Macaca fascicularis: one gene and its partners. The protein of the gene in region 3 purifies or fractionates together with the protein of the main gene of each other region. This does not show direct contact. Links are inferred from orthologs where the notes say so. Each region holds a gene or a part of one and is shown on either strand. Other genes may lie near its edges. The genes, in order: ANAPC13, ANAPC2, ANAPC16, CDC27 and ANAPC7.

Region 1 (4,179 bases), on a different chromosome or scaffold from region 3:
ACAGGCCACGGACTGGTAGTGCTCTGCAGCCCCGGGTTTGGGGGCCCCTGGTTTAGAAGCCATAAAGGCAACAGAGATACCTGTTAAAGGATACTGTGCAATGTAATCTGCTAAATTTAGAACTGTAAGGAAAAATAGGGGCTAATCCCATAGCTATAGCTATGAGGGAACTGCTATAGATTAAAAGATGTCAAATATGCATCACCCAAACACAACAGGCAGATCCCTGTGGGATTTTGGTTCAAACAAGCTAACTGCAAAAAAGACATTTAAGAGAGAGTTGAAGAAATCGTAATCTGACTGGACATTGACATTAGAGAATTTTCATTAATTTGTGTATGTGTAATGACAGTAGTGTGGCTTTGCAAAACTGAAAGACCTAGCTCCTGACGGGGGCGGGCAGGGGACTAAAATAACATAAAGATCGGAAATTCAGTTCCTGAAACCTTGTGTCAATGTTGGCTTTAGCTGAATTCCAAATCAAGTTGACATTTTTTGAAAGCAGGAAGCAATGACAGAGTGGACTACTGATGCTGTCACCATCTGCCAGCACAACGTAAATTAGAACAGAAAGGACTAAGCAAAGGCATTCCACCTTTTAAAGAGAGAAAATGGCATCAGTACAATCAACATATACAATTTTTACAAACAACTTTTAGAGTTGCATCTACATACATTTTAAAAGGCAGTGTGCCTGTTTATAAATCTCTACCCCATTTTAGTTTCAGAGCCTTTTTTACTACCCTGATCACTGATCATGCCACAGTCAAAAGGCAATCTCAAAAATTAATCTAAAAATAGTACTGCATTCCAAATAAGAAAATATATATACTTTGTTTTACTATTAAGCTACAGCTAACAGAAATCTAATCAACGATCCTTGATTTTCTCTTACCTAAAAAATAAACGCAAGCACGTGAGGAACTGTATAAATACAGAGCATCTACCCTACAATACTGCTTTATAAAAGAATAAATTCTTTTAATAAGTTTAACCGGACATAAAGCTCAGGGAAAACTACTTTGTGCATATTAGTGTACGGTGCTTAAACTATACAAGATGACTAGTCTCTGACATCATACACATCTTTACTCTCCTGATGTCGTATACGACATAAAAAAAACCACATTATAAGCCTAAATGTACTGTCTTCAAGTATCTCCATGATTAAAGTGTTCCTAAGAAACCGTCCTTGTTTCTTTCTATCCCTGATCTGTGTGCATGGAGCAGTTAGTTCAGGGTTCTCCAATTTCAGTCCACGATTTCTGCCATAATTCCGTACCTGCTGTACTAAACATAACCGTTTACACCAACTCACTATTTTAAAAGCTGCCAACCTTAACATGCCACCCTAAATGAGCGGGTCCCCTTGTGCCGTGAATGAAGTAGTCCTAACAGCGCTAGCTAAACAGCAGCCCTGGCCGGGAGGCCGCACAGGGGTACCTCCGCTGAAAAGAAAGGTGGGTCCGCCGGGAAAGGTGAGTACTGGGCGCAGCTCGCCCGCCCACCTGGCTACTCTCCGAAGCGCCCCCAGCCACCCGGCCTCCGAGGAAACGCTGTGACCACCTGGCGGGGCCGAACCGCGCGCCGGGCTGCGCCATGCCGGACTACGCCGGTGTGCAGGGCATAGCGGGCCAGGCCGAGGGACGGGGCTCCGGGGCGGACGCGAGCCGGCGGGGAGGCGCCTGGTGGTTCGCAGACTGTTGCGCGAACCGGCCGCAAGCCATGAGGCCGCGAAGCCAGAGTCACCAAGGCAGCCTGGGCCGCCTCCGGACCAGGACGCGCTCGCCCCTTGCGCTTCCGTCTTGCGCACGGGCGGTTACACGGCTGCAGCAAGCGCATCCCTCAGCCTTCCCGCCGTTACCTCGGCCGTGCACTGCGCACGCGCGCCACCACTAAGCTTACGTCCAGCCTCAGCAGTCGGAGCGTTCGTTCCGCCCACTGCCCCCACACTTTTAATAATTGAATCAATGTCTGCTCCAGACTTCCCCTGCACGCGAGCAAATGGACTCACCCACATCCGGGAATCCGAGAAAGAGCGTGCAGACGCGTGATGCGGTGCGAGGCAGGAGGAAGCGTCTGCCGCGCTGGGCCGCGTAACGGTAAGGGTTTGCAGCGCCCCCGGCCTAGGTTTTGGAGGCGCGGGAATGCGTTCGTGGCTCAGTGTCGGACTTCCCCCTATTTCCATCGGCCGAGGCTGTCACTTTACGCTCATAACCGTTTTCTTTACTGCACGCTGTGTCGGGAGGAAAGGGACTTGCTTGGCACCCCAGACCTCCCCGTCTCCGCTTCCACGTTTGGTACATCCTGCGTCAGGCCGGAAGCCGCGGCTGAGGGGCGGCCTCTCGTACAGTGTGGTGGCCTGCGAGGCTCATTTCTAGCAAGGAACAATATTTTTCCCGCTTTGACCTTACAGATACATGTTTACAAAGCTATAATGTATAGAAATGGATAAGACATGTCCCTGTCCCGGGAAACGCAGGCACTGCGTGTCTGGAAAGACATACATCTGGGCTGTTTGACAGGCTACCTAGTTGGTGCCATGCTCTGTGCTTAGGGAACTATGAGATCCCCGGTGGGTACCGGGACCGCGCTCAGCCTGAGGTTTGGAGGCGGCCTCCTGCAGGAAGCGACTTGAGACCTGAGATTTTTAGACTGACTATGGGTTCGCTGGAATAAAAAGGAAGAAACAAACAGCATTGCAGGCATCGGGACTGTCACGTGTAAGAAAAGTTTGTTCAGGAAACAGTTGTCGTATTGTGTGACGAGTACTTGGGACGGTGGCTGTGCCTTGGGCGTTGATTATCTTGTTGCTTTCCATCCTTCCAGCCCCTTAAGAGTGAAGGCACCTTCACGCCTAACCCCGGAAATGGGATGTTGACCTCCAAGAGCTGACGCCTGCGTTGATCTTGAAAGGAAGAGTGGCATTAGTGATGTGGAAAGGGGGGTTTTAACTGTCAAGGCTGGAAAATGTGACAGGGTTTGAGGTGTTTGGAGAAGGGACAGGTGAAAAAGATTGAGGCCAAATTGTAGAAAGATCTACTAAGGAATCCTGGGTACAAAATGTACACATAACAGTTGGAGACAATAATACCTGAGCAATTGATCACAAAGCTTGTTTAGTAGATTTAAGTTAGGACAAGAAGCAAGAGTTCAAGGATAGAAGGCCTACTGAAGCTCGAGTGATCTGAGAAAACCTTACTAAAAGGTGGAAAACCTATGTGGGCCTGGGAAAGTCAGGTTTGGATCAGCTGAGGAAAGTGAAAAGGGTATCCCAGGAGACACAGCAGCAAGGACAAAGGAGTAGCAGCAGGAAAGTGGGGAGCTCTTATAAGACAGGGACTTCAAAAGTATAACCAAAACTTCGTCTTGCTTTGAGTTATCCACTGGGTAGTAGGGGGTTAATTATTGAGTACTGGATTAATTAAGCCCTCACCTGGCTCACCGGTGACAAGTAGCAGGGCGCGTTTTGCTTAAGTTTTGCCCAGATCTTTTAAACCCTTTCCTACACACCAATCTGTGTATAATTTTTGCCAAGGTGTTGGGGATATCTTGCAGTTATCCTATGGGGGACATCTGTGAGCCTTTTTTTTTTTTTTTTTTTTGAGACCAAGTCTTTTTTTTTTTTTTTTTTTTTTGAGACGGAGTCTTGCTCTGTCACCCAGGCTGGAGTGCAGTGGCCAGATCTCGGCTCATTGCAAGCTCCGCCTCCCGGGTTCATGCCATTCTCCTGCCTCAGCCTCCCGAATAGCTGGGACTACAGGTGCCTGCCACCACGCCCGGCTAATTTTTTGTGTTTTTAGTAGAGACGGGGTTTCACCGTGTTAGCCAGGATAGTCTCGATCTCCTGACCTCGTGATCCGCCCACCTCGGCCTCCCAAAGTGCTGGGATTACAGGCGTGAGCCACCGCGCCCGGCCATGTGAGCCATTTTTACAAAAACTTCCACCTGCCTTGGCCCAAACCTCAGCATTCTTAGGCACAGGAGCTCATGAACATACTGAGATAACACTAAAATGGACTATGGGAAGGGACCAACTACAGACCTGACACAAATCCTCAAGGCAAGACGATGTCTGAAGTTGACCTTGTAAAGGAAAAGGCTTCCTTCCTTAAAATAGCACCCAGGCTGAGCTCTGAAAAAAGCACCTCAAGATGGTGGGTTCCACCCCGCCCCCGC
Region 2 (4,050 bases), on a different chromosome or scaffold from region 3:
ACGCTGAGCAAAGTCTGGGAGCTCTCCAGAATCTGGGGCCAGAGAAGTGAGGAAGTTGTTACTGTTCACCTGCTGGGAAGTTCCTAAGCCCCAGCTGTCCTCACACTCAGGTTCTGGGACCTGGCTGTGGGTGCTGTAGCCAAGGGATCCTGTGCGGGGGAAGGCGGAAGCCCAAGGGGACTGGCAGACGGGGTAACAGGGCCCTCTTCCCTCCTGAATCTGACCCAGAACACTTCCTCCCCACCCTCAAAGCCAGGCTGGGTTAGCACTGGCCCAAGACGTGGCTCTTCACACTCTAAGCAGAAAGAACCACATGGCTAGCGAGAACCGGATGAAGACCAGGACCCAGGATGCCCCAGGTCCCCCAGACAGCCCCACGGTCACTCCCGCAGCAGCCTGGGTTCCTCAATGGGCCTGGCCACGCTGCTCCTGCCCGACATGTCAGCGAGGCACAGACTGCCCACAGCTGGGAGCCCCAGACGGTCCTGACGCCCTGCCGCGGCTACACCCCTGCCGCGGCTATCCCCTGATGCTCCGCCTGGCCTCCCGAGCTCCACCTTGAGGTAGGCGGCCTCCGTCTCCGCGATGGTCCGGTCGAACTCGTTGCGAGAGGCAATCTTGCGTGCCAGGTTCTCGTTGACGCGGGCCAGCTTCTCCGTCAGCTGCCTCACCTCATTCTGCAGCCGCTGCTTCTCGTCCTCCTCCTCCTGGATCTGCCGGCACAGCTCTTCCCGCTTCTGGCACAGCTCCTCTATGCCTGGGGGGCCAGGAGGGGCGGGGCTGTGGGCCCAGGGCAGGAGCGCGGCGGCGGAGGGCGGGCCTCCTTCCACCCGAGGAAGCCAGAGTCAGGCACCACCCCCGAGCACCCGGCGCGGGGCCTGCGAGCCAACGAGGGCTCGGGGCCACGGACACCCAGCCCCCGGCACGGAGGGCTCTGCTCAGCTGCGCGATGCCCGCAACTAGGCGGGTCCAGGGGCACCCCGCTGCGAGCCGGGAACCCGGCCCTGCGGCCCTCCCGACCTCCCCGTCCCGGCTGCGCCGCTCACACTTGACCAGCTCGTTGTTGTAGTTCTGCAGCGCCGCGCCCTGCTGGGTCATGGTCTACGCCGCCCGGGGCCCCGCCACCCCAACCGACGCGGAACCAGCGCTGTCCGCGCCTGCGCACGACTCCCTGACGGCGCGCCGAACTACGCGTCATCGCTGAGCGCCTTGTGCGCGTCATGGCTGCGCGTGCAGACTTGCGTCATCGCTTTGCGCCGTGCCGAGGGGATCTCGGAGCCGGTGGCTGCAGATGGCGGCGGCAGTTGTGGTGGCGGAGGGGGACAGCGACTCCCGGCCCGGACAGGAGTTGTTAGTGGCCTGGAATACCGTGAGCACCGGCCTGGTGCCGCCAGCTGCGCTGGGGCTGGTGAGGCCTGGGAAGAGAGCGGCGGCCCCGCGCGGAGTTTCCGGGACCCTATGCACTTTGGGGCGGCCACCTTCGGGTTCATACAGCTCTGTCCGTCATCCGCCTCTGCCCTGTCCTGCCGCTTTCCACCGCCATTCCACTTCATTTCGTTCAGCTCCGCTGGCAGCCCTTCCCTAGTTTCGGCCCAACGTCCGGACACCACGGACAGGGGGCAGCGGAGTTTTTGCAGCCTACCCCTCAGCTTCTTCCCTTCCCCGCCTCTCCCCACCTCTATGTTGTGTTCCCCTCGCTTCACGGTTTTCTGCGCTCCAGGTGTCTTCCCGGACCAGCGGTGCAGTCCCGCCAAAGGAAGAGGAGCTCCGGGCGGCGGTGGAGGTTCTGAGGGGCCACGGCCTGCACTCGGTCCTGGAGGAGTGGTTCGTAGAGGTGCTGCAGAACGATCTGCAGGCCAACATCTCCCCTGAGTTCTGGAATGCCATCTCCCAATGCGAGAACTCTACGGATGAGCCCCAGTGCCTTCTGCTGCTCCTTGACGCTTTTGGCCTGCTGGAGAGCCGCCTGGATCCCTACCTGCGTAGCCTAGAGCTGCTGGAGAAATGGACTCGCCTGGGCTTGCTGATGGGCACTGGTGCTCAGGGGCTGCGAGAAAAAGTCCACACTATGTTGCGCGGAGTCTTGTTCTTTAGTACCCCCAGAACCTTCCAAGAGATGATCCAGCGTCTGTATGGGTGCTTCTTGAGAGTCTATATGCAGAGTAAGAGGAAGGGGGAAGGGGGCACAGACCCGGAACTGGAGGGGGAGCTGGACAGCCGGTATGCCCGTCGCCGGTACTACCGGCTCCTGCAGAGCCCGCTGTGCGCAGGGTGCAGCAGTGACAAGCAACAGTGCTGGTGTCGCCAGGCTCTGGAGCAGTTCCATCAGCTCAGCCAGGTCTTGTGAGTAGTCTGTCCTGATGGCCGTGCTCTCGCTCCTACTGGTTGCTCCCCTGGGTCCAGCTGGCCTCTGCAGAAAGCTGGTGAGCCGTCCTGATAACCAGGAACATGACAGAGAGAGAGTCCCTGGGGTTCCTGTGCAGTGTGTCCTGGACACAGGTGTCTCTCTTCTGTCACTCACCTGCAGTCCCACGGATTCATGCCTTGCCCATGGTAAGGCCCTATGTGGCTTTTGTCTGCAGCAGCAAATTTCTTAGCGACTCCAAACTTTCTGAACTCTGCAGAATTCCACTGTGACTTTTGTCGACCCTGAGGCAAGGAATGATTCTCACCCTCGTCGACATTCCTTGCCCTGTAATTGTGAACAGAAGCCTGCTGCTGCTTCTCTCCAGGGAGATCAGGTCACTGTGAGGGCAAGTGGTCTCCTGTCTGGTTCTCTGGAGAGGAGAGGGTTTTGTTGTGAGAGACAGGTCCTGTTGTAGTCCTCTAGCAATTGTCACACCCTCGGCCATTTGTGGTGGCTTTGTCACATTGAACAGAGGTATGGCCACGCAGCTATTTGAGAGGTCTTAGGTGGACTAAAGGAGTGGTCCTGTTGCTGGCAGAGGTCAGGGTGACCATGAGGGGCTTCTGTTGGGCTCATCCCAGCAAAAGTTACACAGCAACCTTTCTCATTCTCCTCTGGAGTCTTTTTGCCACTGTAGACCACAGACTGCACTGAAAGGCACAAACAGTGGCATCTGTGTCTCTGGGGCCAGGGCAGCGGTGCAACTGGGTGTCGTTTCAGAGTTGATCCTAGGAGATAAGGGTAGGGCCCCTGACAGCCACACCTGCTGCCACTGATCACATGGGGAAGTCCAGTGTCCCTACCTGGTCAGAGGCCAGCTGGGTGGGGACAGCAGAGCCTGGGAGTGCTCTGTGCTCCGAGTGGCTTCTTGAAGCCTTTGGTACCAGCGCTCCAGGCCAACCAGGCAAGGAGAGTGGCTCTGTGCTGTCCTGGCCTTTCCCCTGACAAGGAACAGACACTCCCCAGGGCTGTTCAGTGGAGAATGTGTTGGATTGAGGACCTTGACATGGCTGCCTGGAAATTCCTCAGGGGTCGCAGAGGCCCTGGTTCGGGGCTGGCAGGCACAGTGGCCCCCACAGCTGAGGATTGTGGGGAGGTGCGTGCTGGTTGTGGGGGTGTGCGTGTGTGTGCTGCATGCACTCTACAGGCAGGACCGTCCTGGCATGGGGCTGTTCTGGGCTAGAGGGGCCGGTGTGTGCTGTGGGTGCCCCATGGCTAGGACTCTCCTCTAGACACAGGCTCAGTCTGCTGGAGCGGGTCAGTGCCGAGGCTGTGACCACCACCCTACACCAGGTGACCCGGGAGAGGATGGAGGACCGTTGCCGAGGCGAGTACGAGCGCTCCTTCCTGCGTGAGTTCCACAAGGTGAGGGCCCCTCCTTTGGGCTGTGCCCCGCTGGGGACAGGGGAGTAGGTTTCTGGCAAACCTGACACCTGGCTTTGGAAGCATCCAGAGCGTGGAGGCCTGGGTTGGCCTGGACCGGGTGGTGGCTGGAGCTGTTTTGATGTCGGGTAGAGACCAGTACTTCTGGGCCCTGGTGACAGCGAGGACACATCTGAGGTGCGCTCACCAGATCTGCTCAGAATCCCATGGCTGCAGTCAATACCGGGCCAGGGTCCCCAGGGGCTGCCCCAGGCAGGTGT
Region 3 (4,033 bases):
TTGCCTGTCAAAGCAGTAAATTAATAACAACTTAACCAATATGGTTCTCAGACCAATATACTGCTGAGGGGAGGAATCCAGTTTCTACAGGCCACTGCCCAACAAAATGCACATCACTCACTGAGAAGCCAAGCTTCTGGTCACACCACTTAATGGATCCATAATTTAGGAAACAAAGGTTCCTTATAGGCTAGCTGAAGTTAAATTCAGCCAGTATTCCTACCACGTACAGCTTAGTCTTGAAGCCCAAAATACTGAAGAGTTCCAAAGAAAACAAGTTGATCCTTACTAAATACACTAACGCTCAAGCCAACGTGGACGCGGTGGCTCACGTCTGTAATCCCAGCACTTTGGGAGGCCGAGGTGGGTGGATCATCTGAGGTCAGGAGTTCAACACCAGCCTGGCCAAGATGGTGAAACCCGTCTCTACTGAAAATACAAAAAGTAGCCGGGCTTGGTGGCGGGCGCCTGTAATCCCAGCTACTCGGAAGGCTGATGTGGCACGAGAATCGCTTAAGCCTGAGAGGCGGAGGTTGCAGTGAGCTGAGATCGCGCCACTGCACTCCAGCCTGGGTGACAGAGCGAGACTTCGTCTCAAAAAAATAAATAAAATAAAATAATAATTGATTATTTGTGTGCTTACAGGACCAAGAAGAGGTTTTGTGAGAAATAACAACATAGAAGGTAAACCGACATGGATAGAGGAAAAGAGCACATCATTAGCAATAGTCGATGACATCACAACCCAGTGGTCTATTCCCTGAGGCCTCTAAAGTTCTCAATGAAAAAACACTTTCAAGGCGAAAGCTAAAAAAAAAAAAAGTTCCCCACAAAAGCAGACTAAGGTGAAAGTCGGGCCCTCAGAACAAGAGCTCCGGAAAAACAGGTAGTCGTCGCGGAGACAGCAAACGCAGCATCTACCTGTCCTACATGGCCCTGCGCTACGAGACTGCTCGGAAGGAAAGGCGGGAATAACCAACTTAACCCTGCTTCGAGGTGGTTTGGAGAGGAAGAGGAAAGCCGTGTCTTTCTGCAATATCGTGAGGGAAGCCGAGACCCCGAATCATCAAAGAGAAGGAGCAGAAGAGGACTAGGCGGCTGCAGGTAAACCAAGGTACGGCGAGGAGGCAAAGGAACCGGAATTCCTCTCCACGAGCGCGTTCTCGGCTCCCCTCCTCGCGTCTCCGCCCCGGCCACGCCCACCACGGCACGGGCGCGCGCACGCCGCCTTCGCCGCAGGCCCCTCCGTGGAGGCGCGAGCACGCCGCCGTCCTCGTCGTGGTGAGCGTGACCGCTCCGGCTGGTCCTGGGGGCGGGGCTGTAGGGGAAAGTGCTAAAGCCGCTGAGGTAAGAGGCCGAGGGCTGAAGGGCCCTGGGGAGCTTGGTGAAAAGGGAGTTAACCCTTAGGATCCTACCTGCAGGGACTAGAAAAATGGAGAAGGTAGGAGGAGAAACAGGAGACTGCTGTAGCAGACGTGCGACAGGAAATTTTCCCAGGCCGGGTTTGACTGAGTGCGCATGCGGGCCAAGGGGTGGCGCCTGCGCAGTGGGACAGCGCCGATGGCGTCGTTTCCTGTGGACCCAGCTGGGTGGGAAATGTGGCTAGGAGTTAGCTTGGGAGCCGCTGGTGTTCTGACCGCTCCCCTCTCTGGCCACTCTCTCTCCACGCCCACCCCACCCCCGGTTACAGCTGCGGCGTCTGTTTGGTTTGGGTTGTAATCCAGCTGTTTTGAAGTGGAACGATTTTTTGATGATGGAATTTAATGATTGCTTGTAATGATTTGCCTTTGTACTAGGGTAGGAACTTTTAAGGAATTACTCTTTTTAAGAAAATAGGCATATGTCTGTTAGAAAGGAAAGGAATTTATATTCATAAAACTATGAAGGCCGGGCGCGGTGGCCCACGCCTGTAATCCCAGCACTTTGGGAGGCCGAGGCTGGCGGATCACGAGGTCAGGAGATCGAGGCCATACTGGCTAACACGGGGTTTCACCGTGTTAAATACAAAACAAAATTAGCTGGGCGTGGTGGCAGGCGCCTGTAGTCCCAGCTACTGGGGAGGCTGAGGCAGGAGAATGGCGTGAACCCGGGAGGCGGAGCTGGCAGTGAGCCGAGATTGTGCCACTGCATTCTGGCCTGGGCGACAGAGGGAGACTCCGTCTCAAAAAAAAAAAAACTATGAATGCGAGGTCATCCCTGCCGTACATGAAGTAAATGTTTAAGCATCTTAGCTCGGACACAGCAATCTGTCCACAAAGCATCGTTACTCTCCTGTGAGGATCTCCACTGTCAGCCCCAACTTCCCTGACAGGGCCAAATCCCAGGATACTTCATCAGTATTTGTTCAACAGAACATTACTGAGCACCTCCGGTGGGCCTCTCAGACTAGTTGAAAATAGAGTTGTGCGAATAGATCTGCACAATGAGAAAAAAAATCCGTAATGAACCAATACTGATGACACCACGCTTGTCTATCTCCTGCATAACCTTTGCTGAGCCCTGCGTTCTGTCATTTGTTCTTCATTCATTCATCCGAAATGCTCAGGAAGCACTGTGGAAACACTGTGACCCAGGTTCTGTGCTCGGCATTGAGGGTAGAAAGACTTCGAAGGTGGCAGGATGTTTCTTAAGATCATGAACCTTAAAATGAAAGTGTAGGCCGGGCGCAGTGGCTCACACCTGTAATCCCAGCACTTTGGGAGGCCGAGGCGGGCCTGATCACGAGGTCGGGAGATCAAGATTTTCCTGGCTAACATGGTGAAACCCCGTTTCTACTTAAAAAAAATACAAAAAATTAGCCGGGAGTGGTGGCGGGCGCCTGTAGTCCCAGCAACTCGGGAGGCTGAGACGGGAGAATGGCGTGAACCCGGGAAGCAGAGCTTGCTGTGAGCCGAGATCGCACCACTGCACTCCAGCCTGGAGTGCTTAATAGAAGCACTTAATAGAGCGAGACTCCGTCTCAAAAAAAATAAATAAATAAAAATGAAAGTGTAAAGTGCTTAATAGAAGGTATTGGCCCTCCTCCTGAGCAGATTCTTTCCCCTCTGGGAGCTTGCTAACTCTGTTAGATGGAGAGAATTAAGACTTTTTCCATGAATTTTTTTCATAGTAAGTATGAAAAACTGGGATCTGCATAGGAAAAAACACTCAGGAGTAACTCTCCGTTAATGATTTTGAACAGCCAAGATTTATGAAGTGTTTACTAAGCCTGTAACCATTCCAAGTGTTTTACGTGTATTAATTAATCTTTGTCACACCTGTGTGAGGTAGGTGATGTTATTACAGGTTGAGTATCCTTAATCTAGAAATCCAAAATCCTCCAAAATTTAAAACTTGAGCACTGACGGGATGGTCAAAGGAAGTGCTTTTTGGAGCATTTTGAATTTTAGATTTTCGGATTTGGGAGGCTTAATCGTTACGTATAATGCAAATATCCCAAAACCTGGGAAAAAATCCGAAATCCAAAATACCTCCAGTCCCAAGCATTTGGGATGAAGGGTACTCAACCTGTTTCCCGTTTTGCAGATAAGACAACCAAGGAACAAAAAGATCCCGAAGTGGGAGGCGGACGCGGAGGTTGCGGTGAGCCAAGATCGTGCCGTTGCACTCCAGCCTGGGCAACAAGAGCGAAACTCCATCTCAAAAAAAAAAAAAAAAAAAAAAAAAAACAGAAGTTGCAATTTTTTACATTTTTGCCATCAGACCTTGGCAATGACCTTGAGCAGTACGATATAAATAACTCCCACATGCTTAGCGTTCCAATAATGGAACACTAGGCATAAATGGGTGAAATGATTTGTCCACAGTCTTGCAGCAAGTAAGTAGCAAAACCAGAACTCAGAGAGGCTTCATAATCTTACCCACTATGCTGCTTTACCTTGCACATGACAAATGACATGCCAACAAGCCATTGCTTCAGAATGTCACAGCAGATAAGCTAAAATTGTCTCTACACCTCAGTTTTATTTTTTCATGTATAAAATGAGGAAGTTGGGTTAGATGACTTTTAAGGAATCTGGTTTCTGTGAAATGT
Region 4 (4,154 bases), on a different chromosome or scaffold from region 3:
CATATACAGTGACAAGAGAAGGCGGTGGAAAAAGATGCAGTGTAGCTCTGTCAGCCTTGTTTTTAAAAATGGAAGAAAAAATATCTCCCTCCAACATCACCCAAAGGGAAATTTCCAAGCAATGGAATATATCATGAGTCTCACATCTAGCCTAGAGAACTCCTGACTAGAAGAGTAACCTTCAAAAACCGTTTTTCTCTTCTGCTGAAAAACAAAATTTAAACAGTTCCCTAGTTCACTCTCCTTCGGAGGAGAGGAAGAGCAGAAAGGAAATACAAGAGAGTCTACATTGCGTGCTAGACACAGCCACACTTGTAATACATCAAATTCCCTTAATCCTTTTTTTTCAAACTAAGCAAACACAAGTTCAGAGAGGTTGTAATTTGCCAAGGACCTATGACTAGTTAGTGCTAAAGATACAATTCAAAATCAGGCCTCTGAATTTCCTACCCCCTACTCTTCCCACCACAGTGGAATGCCTCGCCTGTCAAAAATAAAAATTTCTAACGGCCTATTGAGTTTTTCCATGATCTCTTCACCTAAGTAACTATTTCCAATTAATGCCTTCTCAGCAGGCTGATCTCATTTTTCCTTCCTTCACTTTCCTATACTTATTTTTCCTCTGATTCTACCCATCCTTCAAACTCCAGTTTAAACTTTTTTTTCCTTCCATAAAACTTTCCTCATCTTAACACAATTTCCCTCTCTGAATTTTTATATTACTTATAATAGGCACCACATAATATAGCGTTCTCTGTTACACTGCTTTTCCCTTAAATAGACCTTAACCTCCTTGAGGACAGAAGCTATCCTAATATCTTTGGAGTGGCAATCTTTCCAAATTTCTTTAGCTTTCCCCAGAGCCGTGAGTAGATACTTCTGGAAAGGACGAATGATCTAAACTCAATAGACAAATACTTGTTGATTCATTAAAGTCTGCCCCAAACTCTGCTGTTTCACCCTTTGCTTTATAATCTACAGCACATCAATTAACCCAGAAGGGCTGAGTGGCGAATCCACCCTGCAGCCCCGCCACGTAACGCTCCCGGGCCGCTCAGTCACGCCACGCCCAGCCTGCTGGTTGCCGATTGGGCGTGGCCCAGCCCTGGGACGGCCGATTGGGCGTGGTGTGCGTGACTGAAGGCGTGGCTGAGAAGAAAACCTACGCTTTGGGTTAGACTCGGTAGTTTCCGGGAATCTTCGACAATTTCCGGCAACGATTTTTCTCTCTCGTCGACCCACCTCGGGTATTTCCGACCCCTTTCGGGCTTTTCCGTCTGGCTCCCGCTCGGCTTTCTCCACTTCGGGAATTTCCGTGTCCCGCTCGGAAGCACTCGGCAATCGCTCGGCCTCCCCCATTCCCCGGTAACGGTCGCTGGTGAGTTTAAATGAGCCGGGGCTGGCCGGGCCGGAGCCGCTACCGGGGGGGCCTGAGGCACTGCAGAAAGTGGGCCTAAGCCTCGAGGATGACGGTGCTGCAGGAACCCGTTCAGGTAATGATAACCCTCTTCTCTGAGGCTTGGCTTGCAGCCTCAGTCGGGAAGCAGCGTAGGGCCACTCCGCGGCCTGGTGCGGCCTAGGCCCGGCTGCTTCTACCGCCTCCCTTGCTGCCGAGTCCTGCCTATCTTCCGTCAGTTCGGAGGCCTTGCCCGCAGCCTAAGCCGTGTTACCTCTGGCCCTACGTTACTTCACCCTTAGTGTGAGCGGCTTCGGCGAGAATAACCGTCTTTCCCGTCCGAGCCAACGTCCGGCCAGCCCTTCCTGTCAGCCCAGGGGCCTGGCTTGACTGGGGTTGGGAGATGAGGGGCCGAAAACGCACCCCAGGCGCTCTCTTGCCTAAAAGATGATCGAGAAGCACATTTGATCGGAGCTTGTATGATCTTCGCGATGGTAGGGCAAGTTTGCGGAGGTTTTTTTATTTTTGTCTTATGTGAGAGAGTGGAGGGAGAGTAGGATCGGTATCTTTAATACTAATTTCTATTTTGGTAACAGACTTCCTCTCCCACGTTTCCTTTCTCGGTGAATTTCCCACCGGACAATGATGGTTTGAGAAGACAACTCCAAGCCTCAGTGCTGAGGTGCAAGCACCAATACCAGGGGAGGAGGTGGAAAGGGCATATCTGGGTTGTTTTCATCCTCTCTGATGGGGATCAGGAGCATTTTGTTGTGCATGTTTATAAGGCATTCAGGAAATGAAAGACAAATAGTGGTGTTTGTGTCTGTTTCACTGCCCTTACACCAAGGTATGCTTTGACGCACAGTGCTGTGTTGCATTAAAGGAACCCTATTGGATTTTAAGTCTGTGATGCAGTGCCAAGTCATTTTCCCCTCTGACATCTGGAGAAACTGAATCTTTTGTGCCTTGGTAATGGACCAGGTCTGGGAGACTTCCTCCCACCATGTGATCTTTGACTTGATCAGAATTGACTTCTATCAACCACTGTCATTGAGTCTTGGACTTTATTTTGAAGTTATAAAGCAAACCGATTTTTAGAAATTCCTTCATATTGCCCTTAAAAGGCTTGAGGTATCAAATAGTAAATATTTTATTATGTCACTGCTTTCATATTTATTTCATTTTTCTAAACAGCATGAAATACTCATTTCTTCTAGTTTGGCTTCTTCTCCAGCTGTTTACATATAGCAGCTATTAGTGTTTGAATTAATAAAACGTTAAGATTGTATCTTATGAAATTTTCCTGTCTGTAAGTTGTATCGGTTTTTCTAGAGCTATTTCTTTTTACCAGCATAGTTTCTTTTAAGGCTTTTTTTTATTCTGGCTGTAGATGAGGTAATTATATAATTTTTTAAGGCCTAACATGAACTTAAATAGATAAGCAGATTACTCAAGTTATTTAATTTCTGTTGCATATTCTTGTAATTTTGTTTTAATAATGATTTTTTTTTTTTTTTTTTTTTTTTTTTGCCTTCTCTGGCCCCAGAAGTCTTCTAAAGTGATAAACTAGTTGCACTGATAGACGATAACCACCATTTAATAATAATTTCAGACTTTATAAAAGCATGGAAGGCCGGGCGCGGTGGTTTACACCTGTAATCCCAACGTTTTGGGAGGCCGAGGTGGGTGGATCACCTGAGGTCAGGAGTTCAAGACCTGCCTGGCCAACACGGGGAAACCCCGTCTCTACTAAAAATATTAAAAAATGAGCCGGGCGTGGTGGTGGGCGCCTGTAATCCCAGCTACTCGGCAGGCTGAGGCAGGAGAATTGCCTGAACCCAGGAGATGGAGGTTGCAGTGAGCTGACATGGTCCCGCTTCTCTCCAGCCTGGGTGACAGAGTGAGACTCCGTCTCAAAATAAATAAATAAATAAATAAATAATAAAAGCATGGAAAAGAAAAGGAATATGTATCCTATTTCTAGATAGTACCCATTAGGTTTCCTATTTGCCCTTAAAGTACTCTTAGCAGTAACACACTTCAATATTTTTAAGGCTTAAATGTCAAATTTGCTTCTTTTTCATACTAGCATTGTCCATTAGATTTTTGAGATAGTGGTAGAAAGTTTTAGGATATAACTAGGTAAAAATTTTGGTTGTATAGTATAAGAAGAAGCCATTCAAGAAGGGATTTGGAGCAGTGAGAAGAACAAGCAACTTTAACTACAATGATAAAGATCAATGATCAGGGATAGTGCTGCAAATGGGAAAGAATTAGGAAGAGAATAAAAATAGGACAGACACATAAGATACTGTCTTTATTTAAAAAAAAACAAAAACAAAAAACTATGATGACTGATTGCATGTATTTGGAAAGCAGTGAGAGTAAGTTGGAAAATTGTTCTTTCTTGGAATGCCTCAGAGTTGATGGTATTACTAGGCATAGGAAGAAGTTCACAGAAAAGATGAACAACTGTTTTCTGCATTTTTTTTTCTTTAAAGTTTTAACGTAGAATGGCCAGGCTGATATACCATATATGCCTAAATTAAAACTCCATCTCAAATTACCACTTCTCAGAAGAGTATTACTTTATATTTGAGTCCTTATAAAAGTCTCAAATATGAGGCAGAAGTTCTGTCAGTTCCTTTATTTTTAATAGTAACTATTTGGAAAGACACACTAGGCTAAGTGACTTCAGTGAGAGCTTTTTGGAAAAGTCATCTGATGAAATTGGTTTTTTAAAAAGAAGCAAAGAGAT
Region 5 (2,943 bases), on a different chromosome or scaffold from region 3:
AAATAACTCCTCTACCATTACTATTATTATTCTGCTTTCAACCATGGACACAAAGTGTGTGTGTGTTTCCATAACTCCATAACTCCTGTGACGCAGCTCACTGCCTCCTCTACCCTCCTCAGTGGCCTTCCCCCAAGGGAGGCTAGTGCCTACCTTAGTGCTATACTATACTGGTCCATTGCCTCCTGATACTCATTGACAGCTACAAGGAAATCTCCTAGGATCCGATGCAGGACACAGTCACTCTGATTAGCCAGTGCGTTCCTCAGCAAAGCAATTCCATCTTCATATTTCTGTTCTCTGCCTGGTGGAATAAAAAAGACCCTCACTGTCCTACTTGAACATTTTGAAAATATATTCCCATCTTAAGTCACGTACAAAAAAAACACAACTACCATTCTGACAATCTCTTTGCAGACATCCTCAAGATAACACCGGTGCAACACAAAGCGAGGGCAAGCACACCTGATGTCCTATTCAGTTAAGAAATCTGCAGTTTGAATTACAATGTTTTAAATGGGCTCTTAACTTTATTTTTTTTATTTTTTTTTTGAGACGGAGTCTTGCTCTGTCACCCAGGCTGGAGCGCAGTGGCCGGATCTCAGCTCACTGCAAGCTCCGCCTCCCGGGTTTACGCCATTCTCCTGCCTCAGCCTCCGAGTAGCTGGGACTACAGGCGCCCGCCACCGCGCCCGGCTAGTTTTTTGTATTTTTAGTAGAGACGGGGTTTCACCGTGTTAGCCAGGATGGTCTCGATCTCCTGACCTCGTGATCCGCCCGCCTCGGCCTCCCAAAGTGCTGGGATTACAGGCTTGAGCCACCGCGCCCGGCCTTAATGGGCTCTTAACTTTAAAAAGCCAAATTGCATTTGCCAACTAGCCCAAATTCAATGAACCAAATTATGAGTTCATCATAAATCAGGACTGAAAAAAAAAAAAAAAAAAAACAGGGCCAAATGAGAAGTCATAAAATAATTCAGATAGCACCAAACAGTTCAAACTGGCTAAAACCAGTTAGTTAGATTCAGCTCAAACTAATTCAGGACAACTCAAACCAGATAACAGTGAGCCAAGGCTGGACGCAGCGGCTCACGCCTGTAATCCCACCACTTTGGGAGGCCGAGATGGGTGGATCACGAGGTCAGGAGTTCGAAACCAGCCTGGCCAATATGGTGAAACCCTGTCTCTACTAAAAAAAAAAGAAAAAAAATTAGCTGGGTGTGGTAGTGCATGGCTGTAGACCCAGCTACTCAGGAGGCTGAGGCAGAAAAATCGCTTGAACCTGGGAGGCGGAAGTTGCTGTGGGCTGAGATTGCGCCACTGCACTCCAGCCTGGGTGATAGAGCAAGAGGTCGTCTCAAAAAAAAAAAAAGAAAAAAAAAAAAAAAAAAAAAAAAAAAAAAAAAAAAGGCCGGGCGCGGTGGCTCAAGCCTGTAATCCCAGCACTTTGGGAGGCCGAGGCGGGCGGATCACAAGGTCAGGAGATCGAGACCACAGTGAAACCCCGTCTCTACTAAAAATACAAAAAATTAGCCGGGCGCGGTGGCGGGTGCCTGTAGTCCTAGCTACTCAGGAGGCTGAGGCAGGAGAATGGCGTGAACCCAGGAGGCGGAGCTTGCAGTAAGCCGAGATCGCGCCACTGCACTCCAGCCTGGGCAATAGCGTGAGACTCCATCTCAAAAAAAAAAAAAATAATAATAAAAAATAAAAAAAAAGTGAGCCAAACAGATACCAACCAATTATAGGTGGCTACAGCCAAGCCAAGCAGGTCTAAGCCAGCTACATTTGGTTGGGCTAAATATAAACCAATCCAAGCAGGCTCAGACCTGCTGCAAAACACACACACCTGTCTGGTCATCTGTAACTAGCTGGGACAAGGGTGTCCAATGAGGTCAGGTTTCATAAAAATTAATGATGAATAGGGCAGAAAATAAGACACACTTACTAAGCAGTTCTGCTTTTTTCACCACAGCCTTAATGTAATCTGGCCTTTGGGTCAGGGCTTTATCTAATAACGTTTTGGCTTTCTCCTGTGTCACTGGGTCTTCAAGACAAACGGTGGCTAAAAGGGTAAGGGTCTGTGCATTTGCTCCCAGAGTTTTGTAAACGTTGTTAGCCATTACCATTGCTTCTCGAATACTGTTGGAGGCTAAGTAACACTCGATAAGACCTGAAAAAAGTAAAACACATTAAGACATTCAATGCCATTACCACTTCAACCCATGCTTCCACTCTGACAGCTCTCCAAATTGCTAACCTTCAAAGTTTCAGACGAACGGCAGGCCAGGGGAAACTGATGGTGGGATTAGACAGGCAAGTGTGTTGATGGAATAGCTAAGAAGTGCTCTTCCCCAGAGCACTTGATGGATGTGGAAAAAGACTGCCTTCAAAGGCACCTTCAGTTTAGGGAAGGAAACAAGCACATGTAAGGAACTCACAGCATGTGAGCACCCCATCTGACCGCTGGAAGAATAAATGCGACACTAATGATTAGTTTGTCATATGGCCAAGAGATCAAAGTAGTGAGAGATGATGTTCCCAACAAAACCCAAGGTTTTGCTGCCTCTTAACAAGCTGTTATTCTCCAGCTGCATTCGGTCACCTGCAGGGCTAGGTTTAAGATGGAAGGCTCCTAGGGTCTTTTTTTTTTGAGATGGAGTTTCGCTCTTGTTGCCCAGGCTGGAGTGCAATGGCACCATCTCCACTCACTGCAACCTCCGCCTCCCGGGTTCAAGTGATTCTCCTCCCTCAGCCTCCCGGGTAGCTGGGATTACAGGCATGCGCCACCATGCCCGGCTAGTTTTGTATTTTTAGTAGAGACGGGGTTTCTCCATGTTGGTCAGGCTGGTCTCGAACTCCTGACCTCAGGTGATCCGCCTAGCTTGGCCTCCCAAAGTGCTGGGATTACAGGTATGAGCCACCGTGCCTGGCCTGGCTCCTAGAG

Evidence for each region.
Region 1: the proteins of ANAPC16 (region 3) and ANAPC13 purify together in Homo sapiens (affinity purification with mass spectrometry; 3 studies listed by BioGRID and IntAct, counting the BioPlex papers as one, with this or other methods). This does not show direct contact. The link is inferred for Macaca fascicularis from reciprocal best matches to the Homo sapiens genes ANAPC16 and ANAPC13.
Region 2: the proteins of ANAPC16 (region 3) and ANAPC2 purify together in Homo sapiens (co-immunoprecipitation; 5 studies listed by BioGRID and IntAct, with this or other methods). This does not show direct contact. The link is inferred for Macaca fascicularis from reciprocal best matches to the Homo sapiens genes ANAPC16 and ANAPC2.
Region 4: the proteins of ANAPC16 (region 3) and CDC27 purify together in Homo sapiens (affinity purification with mass spectrometry; 10 studies listed by BioGRID and IntAct, with this or other methods). This does not show direct contact. The link is inferred for Macaca fascicularis from reciprocal best matches to the Homo sapiens genes ANAPC16 and CDC27.
Region 5: the proteins of ANAPC16 (region 3) and ANAPC7 purify together in Homo sapiens (affinity purification with mass spectrometry; 6 studies listed by BioGRID and IntAct, with this or other methods). This does not show direct contact. The link is inferred for Macaca fascicularis from reciprocal best matches to the Homo sapiens genes ANAPC16 and ANAPC7.

The regions. Positions count from the first base shown.
Region 1 is NC_088376.1:37,392,887-37,397,065, reverse strand, and holds the start of ANAPC13 (anaphase-promoting complex subunit 13), read left to right. Parts: upstream 1-1,371; 5' UTR 1,372-1,478; intron 1,479-1,508; coding exon of another isoform or gene 1,509-1,842; exon of another isoform or gene 1,843-2,014; coding exon of another isoform or gene 2,015-2,188; exon of another isoform or gene 2,189-2,723; intron 2,724-4,179. Other genes in the region: CEP63 (centrosomal protein of 63 kDa), read right to left, coding at 1,567-1,842. UniProt on the Homo sapiens protein: Component of the anaphase promoting complex/cyclosome (APC/C), a cell cycle-regulated E3 ubiquitin ligase that controls progression through mitosis and the G1 phase of the cell cycle.
Region 2 is NC_088389.1:2,128,409-2,132,458, forward strand, and holds the start of ANAPC2 (anaphase-promoting complex subunit 2), read left to right. Parts: upstream 1-1,248; 5' UTR 1,249-1,291; coding exon 1,292-1,408; intron 1,409-1,720; coding exon 1,721-2,343; intron 2,344-3,639; coding exon 3,640-3,772; intron 3,773-4,050. Other genes in the region: microtubule nucleation factor SSNA1, read right to left, coding at 1-32, 558-757, 1,047-1,098. UniProt on the Homo sapiens protein: Together with the RING-H2 protein ANAPC11, constitutes the catalytic component of the anaphase promoting complex/cyclosome (APC/C), a cell cycle-regulated E3 ubiquitin ligase that controls progression through mitosis and the G1 phase of the cell cycle.
Region 3 is NC_088383.1:74,199,916-74,203,948, reverse strand, and holds the start of ANAPC16 (anaphase-promoting complex subunit 16), read left to right. Parts: upstream 1-1,226; 5' UTR 1,227-1,281; exon of another isoform or gene 1,282-1,506; intron 1,507-3,525; exon of another isoform or gene 3,526-3,817; intron 3,818-4,033. UniProt on the Homo sapiens protein: Component of the anaphase promoting complex/cyclosome (APC/C), a cell cycle-regulated E3 ubiquitin ligase that controls progression through mitosis and the G1 phase of the cell cycle.
Region 4 is NC_088390.1:68,162,509-68,166,662, reverse strand, and holds the start of CDC27 (cell division cycle protein 27 homolog), read left to right. Parts: upstream 1-1,343; 5' UTR 1,344-1,466; coding exon 1,467-1,493; exon of another isoform or gene 1,494-1,720; intron 1,721-4,154. UniProt on the Homo sapiens protein: Component of the anaphase promoting complex/cyclosome (APC/C), a cell cycle-regulated E3 ubiquitin ligase that controls progression through mitosis and the G1 phase of the cell cycle.
Region 5 is NC_088385.1:117,249,531-117,252,473, forward strand, and holds part of ANAPC7 (anaphase-promoting complex subunit 7), read right to left. Parts: intron 2,170-2,943; coding exon 1,945-2,169; intron 305-1,944; coding exon 154-304; intron 1-153. UniProt on the Homo sapiens protein: Component of the anaphase promoting complex/cyclosome (APC/C), a cell cycle-regulated E3 ubiquitin ligase that controls progression through mitosis and the G1 phase of the cell cycle.